Linked DNA regions of Mytilus edulis. The protein of the gene in region 1 purifies or fractionates together with the protein of each later gene. This does not show direct contact. Links are inferred from orthologs where the notes say so. Each region holds a gene or a part of one and is shown in the gene's direction. Other genes may lie near its edges. The genes, in order: cytochrome b-c1 complex subunit Rieske, mitochondrial-like; complex III assembly factor LYRM7-like.

Region 1 (11,084 bases):
ACACACATACATGAATAATGAAATAAAAAATTGTTATGAAATATACAATTTTCAAAACAGGGAAAAGTTACAAATTCATATAGTAAATATTATTTGCCCACATCATATAGAATCGTATTTTTTTTTATTATTTGTTTTGGATATTTTGTATCGATAAGAACACAAAAGGTACTTTGTTACATCATGGTAATATATATGGTTAAGTTACTGGATAATCCTGGAAATTAGAAATTTCCAGTTTACAATTGGAAAATTAATCGAGCAAGTACCAATCAATAAAATACAGCAGAGGAAAACAGAGATCTAACTACGTTATATAGCTATTTATATAATACATTTTTGTCCCCTAAAACATGTTATCACTATCCGACCAAATGAAACCGTCCAAATGATACTGGTAAATATTATTGAACAGTCGCACAAGAATTTGTATAATGTCACTATACAAATCCTTGAGTCGCAGTATTAAAAAAATTTTCAACAACACATCAGGGTTCAGCTGAACATTCGTATATACCAACCAATGATCTTAACCTGGATTTAGAGCGAAACTTAATAATTCCTACATTTATCTAAAATCTCTTTGATCTTTTGATTTTATCAGAACGATCATTTACAATCGTCTTAAATATGCAGGAAATGTGTGCCACTCAGTGGAGTTAACAGTAGTTATTATATAATCACAACTTGCGATATATATTACATATACTATTAGTCCAATTTCTACCGAAAAATAAATCAATAAAAATGGGGCATTTATTCAATAAATTTGGTACAAATTTCCATCGTCAATGTGTTTTTCTATAGAATTAATGATGTGTCGAATTAATCTATCAATCACTCAATCGGCACACATATGCAGATGTAAGGTAGCGGAATCTGCCGAGGTTTGCCGATTGCTGTTTCCTAAGAATTTATCACAACATTCGATTTCTTCGTTTATTTCTGTAATCCCGAAAGCAACCGATAATGACAATATTGTAGGTCACCACACGCTGGTATGAAAATAACGTGCCATGTTTCAAGCTAATTAACATGTCATTAAATTGCGCGCGGCATCACAGATGAAACGTTTGAAGTCTGGTCGTAGTAGTTCCTGTCAATATAATACTTCCATGGTTACATGTACCTTGCAAAAATTTCTGGCCCACTATGAAGATTTCAACCTTAAATTGTGTCTCAAATTTCCCCCCCAAATTCATTCTCAAAGTCCAGAAGTAAAATATAGCTTCAGCTTCATGACATCATACATGTGACTGTCGTAGGAAGGTTTAATTGAGAAAAAAAATAGCCTTGCCAGACTTCCTAATTATTTGGACAGACTCTGGTCATCATAGCATTAAACAACAATGTAGATGAATTGCAGAACTGAAAATTGACAATTCAGGTATACTATGCATAATGTCAATAACAATGACCCAAGTGGGTGTTTATCCACAGCCACAAGCACAACCTGTTCATGACGTTATATATAGTATTTGGAATGTCTTGAATAATATAATTGTCCCACACGCCCATTTAGTATGGTTATGACTGGTGTAACTGGAAGCATATAATATTTCTAAAGAAAATAAGCAAAAAAATACTTCGGCAGATTTGTTTACAACCTTGTCAGCCTCACAGTCAGGTGCGTGGGGACGCTAAAGTGAAAGTGGCTCAAGTGCTTTAAGTATATCAAATGCAATATAAGTTTTGGCTTCCTTTATTGGTAATAATCATCATTAACATGACTAAAGTACTACATAAGAAACCCAAAGTCAAAGAATTAAACATCAAGTAAGAGTATCGGATATTTGAAAATTTGAAATACAAACCTCCATGTTTAAATTTCCCGATTTCCCGTCGTGCTTTGCAAATGGGTAAAGTATTTAGCAAACAAAGATTCAGTCGCGGACATTTCGAAGCGAGATTAGGATATTTCGGACCAAAAAAAATAAATCAATTTTAAGAATACTTGGACCATTTTGAAAAGAATTGTGAAATCAGTTTTCGAAATTCGAACCAAATTTATTCTTCAATCACGATTTGCAGAGACATAAAGTGGGCGCTCATATTCGCCAGGGACACAATTTCGCCGTTTTATGATTTTGAGGTGTAAAAACTTCAAAGGATAGGTAAAATGGAAGAAATATGCCGGTAAATTATATTATTACAAAAAACTATATCATATAAACTATATAAGATATCTCAGAAATTATACTAGCTATCTTATATAAAAATATTTATAAGATACTAGTATATCATATATCTTATCTTGACTCCTGCCTGGATGCAGTTTCCCTGCACTCCGAGAAATTAAATTGTTTGATGTATGCAGATGATATTGTGATTATGTCAACATCAGCCACAGGGCTTCAAAGTAGACTTGATCAGCTAGAAAAATATTGTGCTGACTGGTGCCTTAAAGTTAATATTAAAAAGACTAAAGTCATAATTTTTAATAAGGCTGGAAGGAAAATTCAAGCGAATTTTCGACTGCAGAATAACTTGATTGACTGTGTCGCTCATTACAAATATTTGGGTGTTCACTTTACTGCATCTGGAAGTTTTCATCTAGCTAAAACTGAACTTTATAATAAGGCTCTTAAGGCCTACTATAAACTTAGAAAGGATTTTATCAATTTGTCTCCTGGAATAAAATCTTGTGTTCATATTTTTGATCATACCCTTAAACCCATTCTGTTATATAATTCAGAGGTATGGGGAGGTTATAATGTTTCTTGTAATAAATTACAGTCTTCCTTATTTAATCTTGAAAATATTTTTAAAAATCTTAAGTGTGAGAATCTCCATCTTAAATTTTCTAAGTTTATACTTGGTGTACACAAAAGGAGTGTCAATTTTGCTGTATTATCAGAACTGGGGCGTTTCCCCTTACATTATGATATTGTAAAGTCAATTGTAAAATACTGGTATAGATTTGAAAATCTTACAACTGAATTCAGTCTATTGAAAGATGCTTATAAATGCAGCCAAGAGCTTCACAAATCTAACATAACTTCTTGGTACTCATTTGCTAAGAAAGTATTAGAAGTTTTTGAAATTAAACCAGAAGTAAAACATTTTGGACAATATAAATTTTTGAACATATCTAGCAAATTAATTCACACTAAATATATTAGCAATTGGTATGCTAGCCAAAATAAAGCTTCTGATGGAAAACTGTTTAATTATGTGAAATTTAAGCAGAATTTTGGTTATGAAAATTATCTTTCTTTAATAAAGGACTTTGATTTAAGAAGATCTATATGCAAATTACGTATTTCTGCTCATAAGCTTCAAATTGAAGTTGGACGTTTTTCAAATATTCCACGAAATGAAAGAATTTGCAAAAAATGCTCCTCTGGCTGTGTTGAAGATGAAATCCATTTTTTAACTAACTGTGAAAATTCTAAATCAGATAGAGATGCTCTCTTTGACTTTGTTTGCCAAAGAATTCCAAATTTTTCTTTACTGGATAATCAGCATAAATTTATTTATTTATTAAACTGTGAAGACAATCAGGTCCTTAATGCTGTTGGTAAATTTATTAAAGTGAATATGAGTTAGTAATTGTATTGTTACTGTATGTAAAATAATGTTTGTATCTACATTGTATGTATCTATCAAATTAATATTCTTTTTCCTTATTCATGTATGCTCTGTATGCCCCTTGTGGGCCCTTAATTGGAAATAAAATATGTTCTGTTCTGTTCTGTTCTATACTTTATAAGGTATCTTTTAAACTTTTAAAAGAAGATATTGCTCATAAAGTATTAAAGATATCGTATAAACTGTATGAGATATTCTGTGTGATAAATGTTGTGTGATGCGTCTAGTGTTCTGTGTTTTTTTTTATCTGTGTGCTTCGCCTTGTCATCTCTCGCTTTCAGCGCCGCTTGCTAACAGAAATGTAAAAAGGTAAGCAGTTAGTCAGTCTCTCCCTGTCAGTACATAGCCTCTCCACATCAAGTCCTATCATTAGTTCCTTTCCGTGGTAACAGATGAATACTGAGCACCAAAAGGCCTTAGGCAAAACTACAAGGGCGACGGGAAGATGGGTCTTGTGAGCCTAGGTAGGCAGCCTGTCTAGTAGAAGGAAAACTCTGATTTCAAATCACAGGTTGTGGTAACCATCACGGCGTTAGTCCTTTCAAGACAACCACTCCAGCTTTTGGACAAATAGTGGGGAGATCACTGCCCCGGTGGAAGATTGCTGTCAAGCGACAACGACAAAGGGCGTAGGAGGGCAAACAATTCCCCACCGGCCAGTGACTCGTATGTGGAAAGCTGCATGCAAGATGCCTTTAAAAACCCACCTGGAACCTTAAGGTAGGCTAATGTCCTGCTTGGAGGTGAAAGCGGATTACAGAAACACGAAACGAAAATTTACGAACCTTGGATGAAAGAGAAAGAAGACCTTTACATAGAAGGAGAATGACGTTGGATGGCCAAAACCGAAAGGAAGCTACACAACTGAGACTTCTGAACTCTAAATCCGCAACAAAGATAGGAACATGAAACGTGAGATCTATGTACGTTCCAGGAAAAGCACAAACCATCGCCAATGAAATGAAGGCATATGAAATAGGTTTACTAGGAATAGCTGATGCAAGATGGAATGATGCAGGACAATCAAAACTAACATTAGGAGAAGTGATTATATACTCTGGACATATGGAAGAGAACACCCAACATTCTGAAGGAGTTGCCATTATTCTGTCAAAAAAAGCTCAGAAAACATTAATTGGCTGGGAGCCAATAAGTGCCAGAATCATCATGGCAAAATTCAAGACCACACATAAAAGGATATATCATTAAACATCATCCAATGCTATTCCCCTACAAATGGCGCAAAGGACGACATCAAGGAAGGATTCTATCGATTGCTTGAAGAAACCACCAGGAAATGTAGCTCCAAAGACATCACCATCTTAATGGGAGACCCAAATGCTAAGATAGGAAGTGACAACACCAGTTATGAACAAGTGATGGGAAGACATGGGCTAGGAGAAATGAATGAGAATGGAGATTTTTTTGTCAACCACTGTGCAAATCACAATCTGGCCATTGGTGGAACAGTTTTCCCCCACACAAAAATGTCATCTAGCAACATGGATATCTCCAGTCATGAACACTGAAAATCGAATAAACCATGTCTGCATCTTCAAGAAGTTTAGGAGTAGTTTACAATATGTCCAAGTTAAAAGAGTAGCCGACGCTGACACTGACCACCATCTTATTATAGCAAAAGTCAAATTGAAGCTAAAGAAACACCAAAATATTGAATCAATAGGAAACGGTTTAAAATATCAATGTTGGCAAAAAAGAAATCGGAATTCCAAATAGAGTTCCAAATGTTCCAGAATTCCAAAAAATCGCTCCAAGAATGCAATAGAGGAAACAGTTTCAATAGAAGATCACTGGCAAGTAATTCAAAAAGCTATCACGACAGCTAGCGAAACATCAGGTGGTTTAAAAAATAGAAAACACAAGGAATGGATAACGCCAGAAACACATGTAAAAGTGGAAGAATGGAAAAATAAAAAATAAAAATATCCTGAACAACAGCAAAACAAGATCAGCAAAACAATTAGCATATCAGAACTTGAAGAGTATATCAACTATAGCTAACAAGGATGTCAGGAACAGTGCAAGGAGAGATAAGAGGGCATTTGTAGAAAACCTGACAGCAGAGTAGAAGAAGCAGCTAGAGCAAACAACATCAAAGCTCTGTATGACAAAACTGCTAACGGGGAAATGCCAGAAAGGAAGTAGACCAGTCAAAAGCAAAGAAGGGAAAACACTCGTCATGCACACATGAAGAGCAAATGAAAAGATGGGTGGGGCATTTCAAGGATGTGCTAAACCAGGACCCACCTGTAAATAAAGCTGGCATTCAACCTTCGGAAGAGCTTTTGGCAATGGACTGTAAAAGACCATCGACTTCAGAAGAAATAAAGAAAGCAGACATTTAAACTTCAACTCAAATGCTGTATGAGCTGTTTGGAAAGATCTGGGAAAAAGAAAAGAGGATGGAATGGAAAGAAGGACACATGGTAAGGCTTTTATTGCAAAATGATTTCATATCACACATAGTAACCGTTAGTGTATAATCAGATTTAGATGTGTTGTATTGTGTTGTCGATGAATTGTTCATTCCCGGAATATGATGTTCCGGGACTTTTTTGTGTTTTTAATCCTCAGTCGGATTTATATTCATTTTACTCTACCCAAAAACTCATGTCGTAAAATATATTTTGAATTTTTATTTATTATGTGTCGAAATAAGGTTGATTAATTACACTTAGATTTGAATAAAAGTAAATACTGTTTATATAAGACACCAAAATAGATTGTTAGTTGTTAATTTTCGGATATATACGAGAGCAACTACCGAAATAAATTCTCTTCCGGTCACCTTGAATTTTGGACAAAATTTTGGGATATGTATTCCCTACCTAAATCCGCTGCTATGCCAGCAGTTTCACAAATGATAGGGAAAATAACAAGACCGATTCTACCTTCAGCTTCACTGGCACCAGAAGTTGTGTCATTAAAACCGTCCCAACACGATAAGAAATCGTCTTATACGTTACATAAGTTGGCACCGAAGTCTGCAGTCAAAATTTCAAGTAACTGGTGTAGTAAGTACATTGATCGTTGCACACACAATTCTGATATTTTTGTTTCTTTTTATATTTAATTATTTGTTTAATTATAGAAATTGATGCTCTCACAAATACTATTTCAATACATTTTGTACATAAGTCTGACATAACAATTTTAACATGCTGATAATCAGATAATGCGAGGCATACAGTTTATTTAATAGCTGGCCCATAAATTATTCTCAGGCACTTTTCTATAAAAGAAATTAAATAACTTTAATATAATGCAAGGAACCTAACCAGTTTTATTGAGAAATGACTCACAGTTGTAAACTTCCGTTGTCTTGGTTTTCTCGTATCAAACATAAACTAAAAGAACTAGCCAAGGAATGTGTTTTTGTCCCAGCCGATAAAGCTGCTAATAATATGAGGCAGGCATTACCTGTAAATGGGGACGAAGTCTGTATGAATTATTTTTTTGTAACTTAAATATTTGTTAAAAAAAAAAACCGGAAATACCGTAACGTTTCCGATTTTGGTTCTGTTGTTAGGGATTGTAGTTGTGATGTTATTTAAATTATGACGTCATGTGCAATGTAAACAAAGAAACGCTGTCATCAGGTAAAGTTTTTTCATATCAAGGAATTATTAAAAATGAAATTGGTATTGCGCGTTCCTTCCTATTTTATACTACTGATAAATATATATTTTACTCAAAGTTTCATACAAACGAGACCGGAAAAAGGAAGTACATTGTACATTTCTGCGCAGGTCCGGGATTTCAAAAAGGCGACAAAAAAAGATTTGAACGATTTTGAGTTCATTAGTACAATGAAAAATTCGGGAAATTTTCCCGATTTTTTTTTTTTTTATTGAATTTTCTACTGTTATTGGGGACTTCGTCCCCATAATATTATTATTGTTTGACGTAAATTTTACATTGAGGTTCTGAAAAAGGAAATCACCAATTCACCAACATTCCAACTGACTCCATTTTCAGAAAACAAAATTTGTAACAAACATAAACTTTTAGCCACCGCTTTACAAGCAGAGCCAAATACAATGAAAGTCCCAACTATGTATTGGCTTCCGAAGCTACACAAAACCCCTTACAAATATAGATTTATTTCGTCTTCAAGCCATTGTTCAACTACTAAATTGTCTATTCTTCTTACCAGCACACTTGGTACAATTAAAAACCTTATAATAAATTGTTCAAATAAGGCCTTCGAAAATAGTGGAATAAATTACTTTTGGAGTGTTAAGAACTCGTTGGAAGTACTTGATAAATTGCATGCTTATATTGGTGATTTTGAATCTGTTCAGGCCAAAATAAAAAGATTGTATGTTTGCCCAAACGCGACCGACCCAAAATAAACCCGCCGACTCAAATTCTTTTTTTGACGTTTTTTTGAAGAATTTTTTTTTTTTCGGATCTTTTTTGGGTCCGCTCCGTCATCGTACAAACCTTAATGTTTGTCGTCTTTGCGTTTGAAAGTAACTGTGAATAAGATTAAAAGACGCAGTTAATCGATATTCGATGTTCTCTGTTTTTATCTTCTGATTGAACGAACGTAAAAGTAAAACATGTGAAGAGGCACAGTTTTTTTAACGCTGTAGTTGTCTGTACTACCAAACCCTTAACTATATGCTCAATGTTAATTTCATCGTGTTATCGAATATCTGATAAGAATATTCAGGTAGATTTGTTCAAAACCATGTGCAATCGAATATTTTCAATGTTATTCTGACAGGAAATGGATCCGGAAGTTGCGAATTTACAATCTTGCAAGAAGATTTTGTTTTTACTGAATAAAAAGGAATTATTTCTTGATAAATTGTTGTCTTTAATTATAATCTTTCTTTATCTGTAAATTAGATGCCCTTTTATTCAAATAGTTCAAATTTACAAGTCTCATTAGACAAGATCAGTACGTTGCTGTTTGGGAGAATTTGATAAAACTATAATTGTTCACAGAATCAGAAATATAATCTTTACTGAATGTAACTCCCTCTGAATAATTTATTGCAATATAAATCCCTTTTGACAAGAGAAATCTGACTTTTGACAGAAATATTTTTTTCACATGTGCAAAAGTAAAAACATGTTATGGACGCCATATTGGATTTTTATACAAATTTGTGAGGAAGGCTCTAGAACCATGACCTAAAAATAAATAGTCTTCAGAAAACGTTAACTTTATGCAATTATATTTTATCAATAATGATTATTTTCAAAAACTTAAACTTGATTTTTTAAAGAAATAAAATTATAACAAATACGTTTTTAGTTTGGAGATTCTACAGAACATGCTTTGATCTATTTATAGCCAAATTAGTTTACCTGTGTGATAATGTAAATACAAATTTGTTTTCAAAACATAAAAAAGACACAAACTAAGGATGGTAGATAATAATTCATATAAATATTTTAGGACATTTAATCTATTTAAATAGAAATAGGATTTAAAAACTGCAAACAAATTTAATCATTACGTGTATAATCAGCTGATATTTTTTTTACACAAACATCGTGTTGATGCAACTGTTGAAAATCACTTCATAAATCCACCAGCCCTTTCACACAGCTAGCAATTGTCAGTGTTATAAACATCTCAGGATACAAATCATATAGTAGACTAATTTATTTATAGAGGTTTTAAATTCATGGCTTTTGGTTTTCTCTACAAAGGTTTGACGGAAAAAAATATATACTGTTTTAAGATCTTTTAATATTTTCATGCAGATTCTGATACCAAAAAAAAAAAAAAGAATTTGCCTACCTACCTACCCACACCCAGTCATCATGGGTCGGGTTTGGGCAAACTGAAATATTTTTAATTGTGGCCTCAAAGTTTTGATTTTTCTACCCTGTATACCACATTGCCTCACATTCTCATTAAGAAAAAATTCACACATCTAATTAAATGGGCATTCAAAAAATCAGAATGTGAATATATATGTTCAAACTCTTTTAGGTCATTTTTTAGTAGCAATAAACAAAAAAACTATGTTAATTAGACATGCTTTGATACTATATATGCCCTTGAATTTTTACTAGATAACATTTTTGTTCGCTTTGGGGATTCCATATATCGTCAGATTATCGGAATTCCAATGGGGACCAACTGTGCACCACTTATTGCGGACCTGTTTTTGTATTGTTATGAGTTACAATTTATGACAAAATAAGCAAAGACCCATCGAAACAACATCTGATAAACAAATTTAATAATACTTTTAGATATTTGGATGATATTTTGGCTCTCAATAATGACGACTTCAGTATGTATATTAATGAGATTTATCCTGTTGAACTTACTTTAAATAAAGCTAATACTAACAATGACCACTGCCATTTTCTCGATCTTGATATCTTTATCACTAATGGAAAGCTGAATACTAAAATTTATGATAAAAGGGATGATTTTTCATTTTCTATCGTTAATTATCCGTTTTTAGATGGTGACGTTCCCTTGTCACCATCTTACGGTGTTTATATATCTCAACTTGTACAATTCGCTTGTGTATGTAACAATGTTTTAGATTTTAACGAGAGAAATTTATGTATTACTGAAAAATTATTACACCAGGGTTTTCGATATCACAAACTAGTCAAAACATTTACTAAATTTTATCATCGGTATAAAGACATCATTCGTAAAATAGCTCAACATGCAGACTTCTAATACGTTCAGGTATTTCACATCCAATTTTTTATGGAAATATTCTTTATAAAGCACAAAGGTGTCAGTATTCACCTCAGAAACTTACAAAACCTTTGAATAGACTTATTTTAAGAAGGGATATAATTACGATACTGTTGTCAAGTCATTAAAGATTGCATATTTTGGCGTTAATATTGAGTCACTGATAAGGTCTTTGCATCGGAACTAAACACATTTATTCTAAAAACAGTTGTTGGCATGACACAGGTTATGTTCTTCTCATATATGTTATGATGGTATGATACTAAACCCCTAACGGGAAGGATTGTGTCTGATGTTCATATGATGAAATCATAATCTTTCAGTCAGTTTAATTGAAGTCTGGAGCTGGCATGTCAGTTAACTGCTAGTAGTCTGTTGTTATTTATGTATTATTTTCATTTTTGTTTATTTTCTTTGGTTACATCTTCTGACATCAGACTCGGACTTCTCTTGAACTGAATTTTAATGTGTGTATTGTTATGCGTATACTTTTCTACATTGGTTAGAGGTATAGGGGGAGGGTTGAGATCTCACAAACATGTTTAACCCCGCCTCATTTTTGCGCCTGTCCCAAGTCAGGAGCCTCTGGCCTTTGTTAGTCTTGTATTATTTTAATTTTAGTTTCTTGTGTACAATTTGGAAATTAGTGTGGCGTTCATTATCACTGGACTAGTATATATTTGTTTAGGGGCCAGCTGAAGGACGCCTCCGGGTGCAGGAATTTCTCGCTACATTGAAGACCTGTTGGTGACCCTCTGCTGTTGTTTTTTATTTGGTCGGGTTG
Region 2 (11,186 bases), on another chromosome or scaffold:
AACTTGACCTCCATTTTGTCATCAGTAACAACATATTAAAATTTGAAAGGCTTGATTAAATAGTTCATGAGTAAATGCAACAACATGACTGGTAACACATATTTCAATCTTTCAAGAACCATAACTCCAGAATAGAAAAATGAAAATTGCCATTATTGTACTTGACCTCAATTTTGTCATCAGTAACAACATATTTGAAGTTTAAATGCTTTGGCTGAACGGTTTATGAGTAAATACACGGACACAACTGGAAACACCATTTTTCAATCTTTCAAGAACCATAACTCCTGAATGGTAAAAGTTAAAATCATCATTATTAAACTTGACCTCCCTTTTGTCATCAGTAACAACATAATAAAATTTTAAAAGCTTTGGTTGAACAGTTCATAAGTTAATGCATGGACAGGACTGGAAGCGTCATTTTTCAATCTTTCTAGGACCAGATAACTCCAGAACCGTAAAAGTCAAAATCATAAATATTGAACTTGACCTCCATTTTGTTGTCAGTAACAGCATATTAAAATTTGAAAAGCTTTGGTTGAACGGTTCATGAGTAAATGCACAGACAACATTTGGCTGCCCCTGTCCGACTGGCCGCCCGGCCATACATCCCCAAATCAATAACCGACACTTTTTTCACAAAAATCTGGTTAATAAAGCTTATATCTTAAATCCCTTTTTTCAGTTGATTGTTTTTGGCTGATGGTGACAAATTAGGTCACGTCACCATCTAAAAATGGATATTTTAAAACAATAGGAAATGATAAATCATCTCTTTTATCATACATTTTGTGTAAATTTGGGTATTAAGTTTCCTGTTAAAGATAAAGATATAAAAGATCCAAGAAAGGGCAGTGTTCGTTGTTAGTATTAAATTTATTTAAAGTCAGTTCAATTGGATAAATCTCTTTAGTGTGCTTACTGAAGTCGTCAATATTGAGAGTCAATGTATATATAGTCATGATCATCCAAATGTATCTGAAAGTGATATTAAATTTTTGTATTCGATATTGTTTGGATTGGTCTTGCTGATTTTGGTCATAAATTATATCTCATAACAATACAGAAACAGGTTTGCAATAGGCGGTACACAGTTAGTTGGAATTCTGATAACTTGATGATATACAATGATTTACGAAATCTCCACATATAGCACACACAAATATTATGGAGTAAAAATTCAAACGCAGTTATAGTATCAAAGCAGGCCCAATTGACATAGTTCTTTTGTTTGTAAATTACAATTTGTTGTAACTAAAAAATTACCTCAAAGAGTTTGTCCATAGATAGCGCATTCTGACATTATAAATGCGCATTCTGACATTATAAATGCGCATTCTGACATTATAAATGCACATCTAATTAAGTGTGAGAATATGAAGACTGTAGAATGAAATTGTTAATAAAACTACTTAAGCAGTAAGATCACAGGGTTACTTATTATGCACAAATTGTAAAACTTAAAAAAAAAGACAACATATAATAGAATTAATTGCATCAAGATATGATTTAACATGAAATATGGTATCTGAAAGAATAAGTTGGTTTACAGTACTTTCTAACAATAAATATTCTACCTTGTTTGTAAAACTTTTTGACTTTCTACACTCTGCAGGTAAGACTGTTTGAGTAAACGTTCCTGTAACTCTAATCTTTGACTATGTGATATAATACCAAACTTGTGAACAATTGGAATCTTTGTAATCGGCATGGTTTTGATTTACAGTTTCTGGAAAAAATAAGATAACAAACATATTTTTAAATCAATATTCATTTGGTTTTAATCAAATCAAATCAAATATTTTATTGTCGTATAAACTTTACATGCAGTTTGTGACGAACATATATTAACACAATGAACACAATAAACATATATACGTTCATATCAAACATACACAATAAAAACAGATTCAAAATTTATAAATACAAATAAGCTCAGGGATCTCCATGGATGAAAATTGAACGATGGAGGAACTTTCACCATCATAAACCGTATCTACGCTGTACAGCGTAGCGCGATCAACAATGTTTCATCCCTCCATGACTTTATCTAGCAAATCGATGCTATGCAACATGCATCTTTCAAGTCGGAATAGAAACCGGAAACGCTGATGTATCAATTTAATTGTAAACTACGAAATGAATTCGGAATTACGATACGATATTTATTTACAGGAAATATTAAAAGTTTTTACTTTTTAACTTTTAAAGTAATTCTATATTATCGTTACAATACAGCAATACTCGAGTTATTTTCGATGAAATAATAATTACTGTTTTACGTTTCATGTTGATATTTCTTTTTACTTAAAAGTTTAGTTCTTCATGTTTTTGGGTGCTTTTACAGTACCAGTTTAACATGTTTAAAGCTATGACCATTTCTTTCAAAAAACTCTGAGACAATACTTTGGATTTAACAATCTAAAGGTTTAAGTGCTGGGTAAAAATTGCAGGATAAAAACAATATATATGTATAAAATACAGAATGAATTTGTACTCGCTAGGAAACTGCAGAAAAGGCTCAATGAACCTGCCCTGGCTTTTCATCCTGAATTTAAAGTTCATACAAATTGATTTCATATTTTTCTAATACAATGTTTGTTTCATGTCTGTCCTATTTGTTTTTTTTACATAAATTGTCTATGTTCATGATGGTAGCAATACACAGTTAGGAGTATATTTTTGCATTTTGGTCCCGGTGAATTTTTCAAATAGGAACATTATTGTGTAATAAAATTCATTTTTAGGCAGCTGAGTGCTAATTTAGCCTTCAAAGATGGTTTATAAGAGCATCAAGATTATTTTTTACATGATTTAAGGGCTATTTTATTTTTGACAATCTGTATTTTCATAGCAAGACTGGCCATCGGTCCAGAAATTAATGTAATGTTTACAAACACTTTTTTCTACACGAAGTTTTTGACGCAATTTTACAAAAAAAACGAGACGAAAGACCAAGGATTTGTATTTTCATTGGATTTGCTGAATGATATATGTACACAGTTTCAGAATTTTAAGGTATTATCTCTAGCAATTGAAATTCTACTTTTAGCCAAATTTTGGGGAAATATGTGACATCTTTTCCCCCCTTTTTGTAATATTTTATAACACATAAATGCAGATTAGGCCAAATAAAAAAGTATGTGTGGTTCCAGTTACATCTGAAAAAAAGTTAGGGTAGGTAGGTAGGGATTTTTTTTTATTTTATGTTTTTTTTTACATTGAGTCTATGGGAGCAACATTCTGACTTTAACAGTGCTTAATGAAAAATGACAATAAAACCTTTAGGGTAGGCTATTTTTCAGCCGAAAAAGTAGGGACGGTACGTAGGGTTACTGGAACCACACATATATTTTTATTTGGCCTTATTGCCATGGATACACCCAAAAGAAATTATATTTTACCATTTATTATTAATACTTGAGCTTTTTAAGAGATGTTTTTTGCGGTAATATTCTACATAAATAATGTATCAAGCCACATCATTTGAAATTAATTTATTCAGTAAAATTATCAGCATGATTGATCATTCATCAATATTGCTTTATCAGGTCAGGAATAACCACCAATTGGTGGATTATACCTCAGGCCACAATTAAAAATATTTTGGTTTGCCCAACCCCTACCCAAATGTTGAGACAATGGGTAGGTAAGTAGGCATTTTCTTTTTTTTCTTCAAAAAAACAAAATTGAAGTATCGGGTGTTTATTAGTCTTCATGCCTTTCTGATTAAAAAAAAACTTCTTCAAATCAGGACAATAAAAGAATTTGAGTAGGCAGCTTTTTTCTGAGTAGGTAGGGTTTGGGCAAACAAACCTATTCTTTTTTATGGCCTCAATTGATGTATAATCCACCAAATTGGCACCAATTGATGTATAATGCAAGTTTTTTGTAATTAAATGCTAGTGTGAGATAGGAGCATGATTTTGCAACTTGCAACCTATTTCATGACCCTTATCGAGTCCTACGAAAGTTTCAGTTTTGTCTAAGCCTGCTGCATCTCTTGAGAATGCATGTGTACAACAATTCTTTTGTTGAAACATTTGTGCTATTGACCATGATTGACTTTTGATAATGAAAGTTAAGTATTTAACAAAGAGCCCCATTCACCTTTTGAGTTGTACTCATGATCACATGACTGCAGACAGTAATGATGTCCATTGACAGGTGATTACAGGTAAATTTGCCAATCAAGAATTGACAAGATAACAAAAGAAGAAACTTCAAATAAATGCAATATGTTATGTTACAATACTAAACTAGTAATGTTTGACAAGTTTTCATACCAATATGGTTTTAAGAAAACAATGCTCCATTTTGGTGGAATAATTTGGTATCGGGACTGTTCGCCCTAATAACATGTTCGCTCTAGGTCCGTTCGCTCTGAGTTCGTTCGCCCATAGAGTCCTTTGTCCTACTATAAAAATATCAATATTCAGGGCATTGAAGTTGAATAAACTTATTCAGATATTTCTATGGTATATATATCATGTATATTCTTGAAATTTATGAAAACATTGAAATATTTAAAAGTTTATGGCTTGTTTAGGATCATTAATTGTTCAATGACAAAATAATTCGGATCACTGATTATTGTGATACTTGTCTTTTGATGGATTAATAATAAAAACAAACGTTTTGTTTAGATAAAATATTCAGCTTGAAATCAATAAAAACAATGATGTACAAACTATAAATTATGAAACCGACTTACATGTTCATTTATTTATACTCTAAGACTAGTCATACTGCATACATTCGTGATTGACTGAATTTCGGGGGGGGCCACTTCAAACTTTTTTGGGTAGGGGTGAGCAGCTGAGACATCAAGTACCCCACCCTTTTCATATATTTCGTTTATCAAAAATATATACCTTGCCATATATTAATGAACACAAAACAGACCTATAGATATATTTGGATATTTTTCATCTTCTTGTACATTAGAGTTTACAAAAATTTTGAGGTCCCGCTCATTTTACGTTTTTGTTTAGATGCAACGCAGTCGCAATAATTACACCTTGCTTTCCCAATAAATTCTTCACTCCTCTATTTGCCCCTTTTATTATGAAGAAATTTCAATTTGAAAAGACAATACATATTGTTTTATCAGATAAATGTAGTAACACTTCAGATAGTATCACTTTTACTGAGTTTACATTAATTAAAAACTGATTTGTCGTTCCCTCTTGAAGGATGCTAACACTATGCTATGGAATTTCTTCAAATGTTTCATGTATGCAATCCTTTCAATGTTAATTAGGTGGAAATGTCAAAATGATTGGATTTATTGCATCTATTTCTAACCTCAGTGGAAATACCACATTGAATAAATAGAGTTTAATTGGTTTGACAAATAGCTGATGCATTTACAACTGAGTTTTAACCGCATCAAAAATAAATACGAACATTTGATTAGTTTTAGATACTTATAATATATATCCAGCAAGTGATAATTTCAACCTATTGATATATTTAATCTGAATTTCTCACCCTTTTCACTTTTCATATATCATGAAGCATGAAATAGTGACCTATTCCAGCGGCTCATCCCTACCAGTCATTACATAGGAAGTGCCCCCCCCCCCCCCCCCCCGAGGACTGAATACAATTATTTTGTTAACAAAATATCAATAAAAATAAATAAATTCCAGTATTCTACTCTGCAAATCAAAGGGAAAATGATAAATTGATTGCGGCAATATAAATATTCTGTCAACTTTTCAACAAACTTTAACATAATTTGTTCAAATACTTAAAACAATGCGACTAGACAACAATTTGAAAGAAAGAAAAAATATCAGGGCGAATGGACCCTGAGCGAACAGGTATCAGGACGAACAGGTACTAGGGCGAACATAAATCAGGGCGAACAGACCCAGATTCGAATAATTTGTTTTGAAAAACAAAGAATTATACACCAATTGTTCTATACCATTATATGTCAATTGGTGGATTATACGTCAATTGAGGTATAATCCACCAATTGGTGGTTATTCCTGACCTGTTTATATGCAAGAAACCATTGATTTTGACTTCGCCCAAGTGTAAGGACCTAAGAGCTACGGTTCCGCAGCTAAGATCAGGTCGGCTTCTCATGCTTGTCGACCGTCATCGTTTCAAAAGATTGCCGTTTTTGATAATGTACATCGTTTATTAATAAATCTTCTGTGTTAACTAGATGTTAGGAGTAACTGAAACTCATAAGACCTACAAATAAACGTGATTTTGTATAGAAAACTGATCCAGCTTCATACGTTTCCCTCCATGATGTTTGTTTCCATAGAACTACTTCCGGTTTTAATCCTGTACAAGGAAAACTCCAAAGAGATAAAAAAAAAAATCCCTTTGGGAGTCTTCTAGAGTTTTCTTCGAAAAATGTCAATTAGGAGCAAGGTAATGCAGACAAGTCAATGTCAAAAGTTTTGTTTAAAGTAGAATTCACAAATAACCTAAGGTCTCCAAATAGAATTAATACACTACATTTAAGACAAAACAAAGCACATAATAAACTATAGACAATATGTAAGCTTACTTTCCACTGTGCTTTTATTTTAATAAGTTTTATTCCGGGTCTGGCAAGGCTATTTTAATTTCGTCCTAGAAAAAATTAACATTGTAGGAAGGTGTCTCAGAAAGTCCCAGAAAAATAAAAAATAGCCTTGCCAATGACGTCATAATTATTTGGACTAGGTAAAACCGTTTTCCCATTAACATCAGAGCAATGACGTATAATTAACATATAACAGGATAGCTATTATTTGAACTTGGAATTATTTTTAATTATGGAATTCGCATAATTTCTTGTGTTTAATTTTTTTTATAAATTCCATGTTTATTTTGTATTATAACACTTTCCATGCAATGCATTTTGGTTAGATAGTGTTGTGCGCGGCACAGTACATTCTATTGAAAATATACTATTTTCTTTGTGATAGAAAGTGTTGTACGCAGCACAGAACATTTCAGTACAGAACAATCATGGAATTTATGAAAAATTTCAATAACAAGAAATCAAGCAAATTCCATAGTTAAAAATAATTCAAAGTTCAAATAATAGACTGTTAATTATACATCCTTGATCAGAGCTTTTGCTTAATATCTTCAAACATTTTGAACAATTGTATATTGGTACATGTTTACCTTTCATTTTTGTTGAGCCTTTGACTTTAGTTGAAAAAGCGAGACATAGTGATCCTACATTCTGTTGTTGTCATAGTCGTCTGCAATGGCGTCCATAAATATTATAATAATAATAATAAATTCTTTATTTAAAGAGGGTAACTCAATTAGAACTAGTCTAATTTTCATTGAGGCCCTCAAAAAAAAATACATGCATACAGTTAACATTCATACATTAAAATACAATATATATTACAATATATATTACTAGTATACACAATTCAATTATTGAAATATACAAATGGTAATAAATGGCAATATTTGATCAAGTTTTGTTAAAGGAATAAAAATTATTTGACTTGCATATATAATTTTCAAGAAAATTATTATAACAATGTTTCTTGAACATGTTGAATAATTCCACATCACAACATTTTTTTATTTAGAGTGGTAAATTATTTCATACTTTGGTTGCAGAATAGTGAAAAGATTTTTTTTTTAAATTTTGTATTTGGTGTTGGAACAAAAAGATCATGATTAAAGACAGATCGAAAGTTGTGGTGTTGCACATCATCAATATTTGGAATTTGCTAAGTAATCAAGTGTTAGTCCATTTACAATTTTATACATTATAATTGATTGTTGGTATTTTATTCTTTTGGTAAAAGATAGCCATTTTAAAGATGAAAACATGAAATTAGATGGAATAGAAATATCGCATTCCAGTATAATTCTTGCTACTCTTTTTTGAAGTTTTATCAGTTTATGATTGAATCATTCTATCTGAATCTTTTTGTAATAAATTTCCCTAAACTGAACTACAATAGTCTTTATATGGTAGAATATATATGCATTATAAAATAGTTGCCTTGTGTGTATTGGCAAATATACTTTAATTTTATATAAAAGTGATATTTTAGATGAGATAATCTTACGTATATCCTCTGGGTGCAGGAATTTCTCGTTGCATTGAAGACCTGTTGGTAACTTTCTGCTGTTGTCTGCTCTATGGTCAATGATGGTTGGGTTGTTGTCTCTTTGGCACATTCCCCCTTTCCATTCTCAATTTTATTTTATTTTTTTGATATACGATCAACATGATCTTCCCAGCTTAAATTTTCATCAATGTCAATTCCAAGTAATTTGAAAGAATGGACATTCTCAATACATGTTTTGTTGACAGAAATACCTAATTCTGATTAGTTGTGTAAGTTTTTGTTTTGAACCCAATTTCATACACTTAGTTTTTTTTGCATTGATTTTCATACTGTTAATGTTACACCATGATTGTATAGCATTTAAATCATTTTGCAATATGTTGTTTATTTTTTCAGTGTTTTTATCATGAAAATGCAATGTTATATATTATTCACTCTCAGTGTGGTTAAAGTTTTTGAAATTTTAATAACTTTCTTAAAACATGTTAAACTATCCTGGATTTGTACCAAACTTGGACAGAAGAAAATCCACTGATGCTGATTGCATCCCAACTGATGGAAATGACATTTCTGATTCTGAATTTACCGAAAATCTTAAAAAATGACACCTATAAATTCGAAATCTATAATATACTGATAGCAAGATAAAACAAAAAATTATTATAGGCAACTGAAAAATGAACTATATATAGATTTCTCATATTACTCATCAGGCTTCAATTATTACGAACAAAACGAAAAGTTCATCTAATATTTTTTTTCTAAAACAATATATCTTTGTTCTTTATTTTTTAAAGACACCTTGTTTGCCAAGCTTACTTGTATCAGGTTTTAACCATCACTAATCACTCCTAATTATTAAAGATCAAACGACCAAATCAACATTATAATTGGTATTCAAAATAATCATCAGTCATGTCTGACATGTTTCATAAAAACGGTGCGTGCCTATGAAAAATGAAATAACTTCTTAAATATTAAATTGATTTTATCAAAACCAAAATTATAAGATGAAGACTTAAATTAACTATCGAATGCATACCGTCACCACTCACTAAAACATATATTTCATGTCCTGAGTGGACTTTGAATGTCCTGAGTGCACTAGTGGCTGCATGTTTTTAAGGGATTTGCCTGAGTTGCCAATCTCTTGTATTACATACATGTATATGTATCTGTCATCATCAATCATGATTATTGGCTAGATCCTGTACGTCTAAACACCGCTCAGGGCTTATATTGTTGATAGTGAAAGTGACAAAGACGTAAACGAGAGACCCACCAACAAAAACAATTGACAATATTTCATACATAGATGGATCTTGTGTCCTCAAAGCAACAAAAAGTCTATAAAAAACACAACATTGAAGTGGGATCGGAGGTCATACATCAACCTGTTAAAATAGAACAATAGATTAGAATCAAAGCTCTTTTTTTTTTCTTTTTCTTTCTTTTTTTTAAGTTTTCCTAAAACTTGGAAATATGCTAATAAATATTTATAGTATAACTAATCGCCGTATTTGAATATAAAAAATAAGACAACGCGTGACCGAACGACGCATGGTTTAAACGAGTGCGCAGCACGAGTTTAATCCATAGCGGCGTTCGGTCACAAGTTGTCTTATTTTTGATATTCAAATACGGCGATTAGTTATTCTTTTTATTACATTGGCAAATGTCTTTTTTTTATGAAATTAATGTAGAAAATGTAAGGAACTATATCTTTTTCCTACGCATTGACAATTTGTTTTGATCCGACGTTATCGACGTCTTGACAACGCCTTTTGTTGTATGACGTCAGAGAGTGAAATAATTCGTAAATATAACTCAACATGCAGACATCTTATACGTTCAGGTATTTCACATCCAAAATTTTATGGAAATATTCTTTATAAAGCACAAAAATGTCAGTATTCTCCTCAGAAACTAACAAAACCTTTAAATAGACTTATTAAAAGGGGATATAGTTACGATACTGTTGTCAGGTCATTAAAGATTGCATATTTTGGCTTTAACATTGATTCACTGATAGGGTCTTTGCATCGGAACTAAACACATTTATTTCTAAAAAAACAGTTGTTGGCATGACACGGGTTATGTTCTTCTCATATATTTTATGATAGTATGATACGAAACCCCTAACGGGAGGGATTGTACCTGATATTCATATGATGAAGACATAATCTTTCAATCAGTTTAATTGAGGTCTGGAGCTGGCATGTCAGTTAACTGCTAGTAGTCTGTTGTTATTTATGTATTATTGTCATTTTATTTATTTTCTTTTGTTACATCTTTTGACATCGGACTCGGACTTCTCTTAAACTGAATTTTAATGTGCGTATTGTTATTCTTTTACTTTTCTACATTGGCTAGAGGTATAGGGGGAGGGTTGAGATCTCATAAACATGTTTAACCCCGCCGCAATTTTGCGCCTGTCCCAAGTCAGGAGCCTCTGGCCTTTGTTAGTCTTGTATGATTTTAAATTTTAGTTTCTTGTGTATAATTCGGAGTTTAGTATGACGTCCATTATCACTGTACTATTATGCATATTTTAGGGGCCAGCTGAAGGACACCTACGGGTGCGGGAATTCTCGCTACATTGAAGACCCATTGGTTGCCTTCGGCTGTTGTTTGCTCTATGGTCGGATGGTTGTCGCTTTGACATATTCACCATTTCCTTTCTCAATTTTACGTTTATTTCACATGTGAAATTATCGGTTTTTATTTAACTGGGAAATCAATGTAATTCATTGCAACCAATGTAATAAATAATTTTATGGGGCAATAATACTTCCAAATGTTGTTTCATGAAAATAAGACTTTTGTAAAATTTGATGCAATAATGTGGGTTTTTTTTTAAGTTATCAACAAATGTGACGATTTTTTTCTTTAATAATTGATACCCAAAGCCAGTTGTGCTGGAACTATAAAATTTATAGTTACAATTTGTAGAAGGGTTTGTGATACACTGAAAGTTTAAATGATTAATACAAGTCTTTGGAATGGCAAACAATAAAGAGATCTAGTACAAAACTTAGCATGAAGAAATATTTGATGTGAAACAATTCATACTTGGTTATATAATTATCTTTATTTAGGAGTTCAAGTTAGTATAGATCAACAGTC

The links.
Region 2: the proteins of cytochrome b-c1 complex subunit Rieske, mitochondrial-like (region 1) and complex III assembly factor LYRM7-like purify together in Homo sapiens (co-immunoprecipitation; 5 studies listed by BioGRID and IntAct, with this or other methods). This does not show direct contact. The link is inferred for Mytilus edulis from reciprocal best matches to the Homo sapiens genes UQCRFS1 and LYRM7.

The regions. Positions count from the first base shown.
Region 1 is NC_092348.1:54,904,543-54,915,626, forward strand, and holds the start of cytochrome b-c1 complex subunit Rieske, mitochondrial-like, read left to right. Parts: upstream 1-6,368; 5' UTR 6,369-6,427; coding exon 6,428-6,626; intron 6,627-11,084. Other genes in the region: chromobox protein homolog 2-like, read right to left, coding at 1,815-1,820.
Region 2 is NC_092351.1:69,225,139-69,236,324, reverse strand, and holds the start of complex III assembly factor LYRM7-like, read left to right. Parts: upstream 1-6,289; 5' UTR 6,290-6,378; coding exon 6,379-6,396; intron 6,397-11,186. Other genes in the region: transmembrane protein 232-like, read right to left, coding at 1,578-1,711.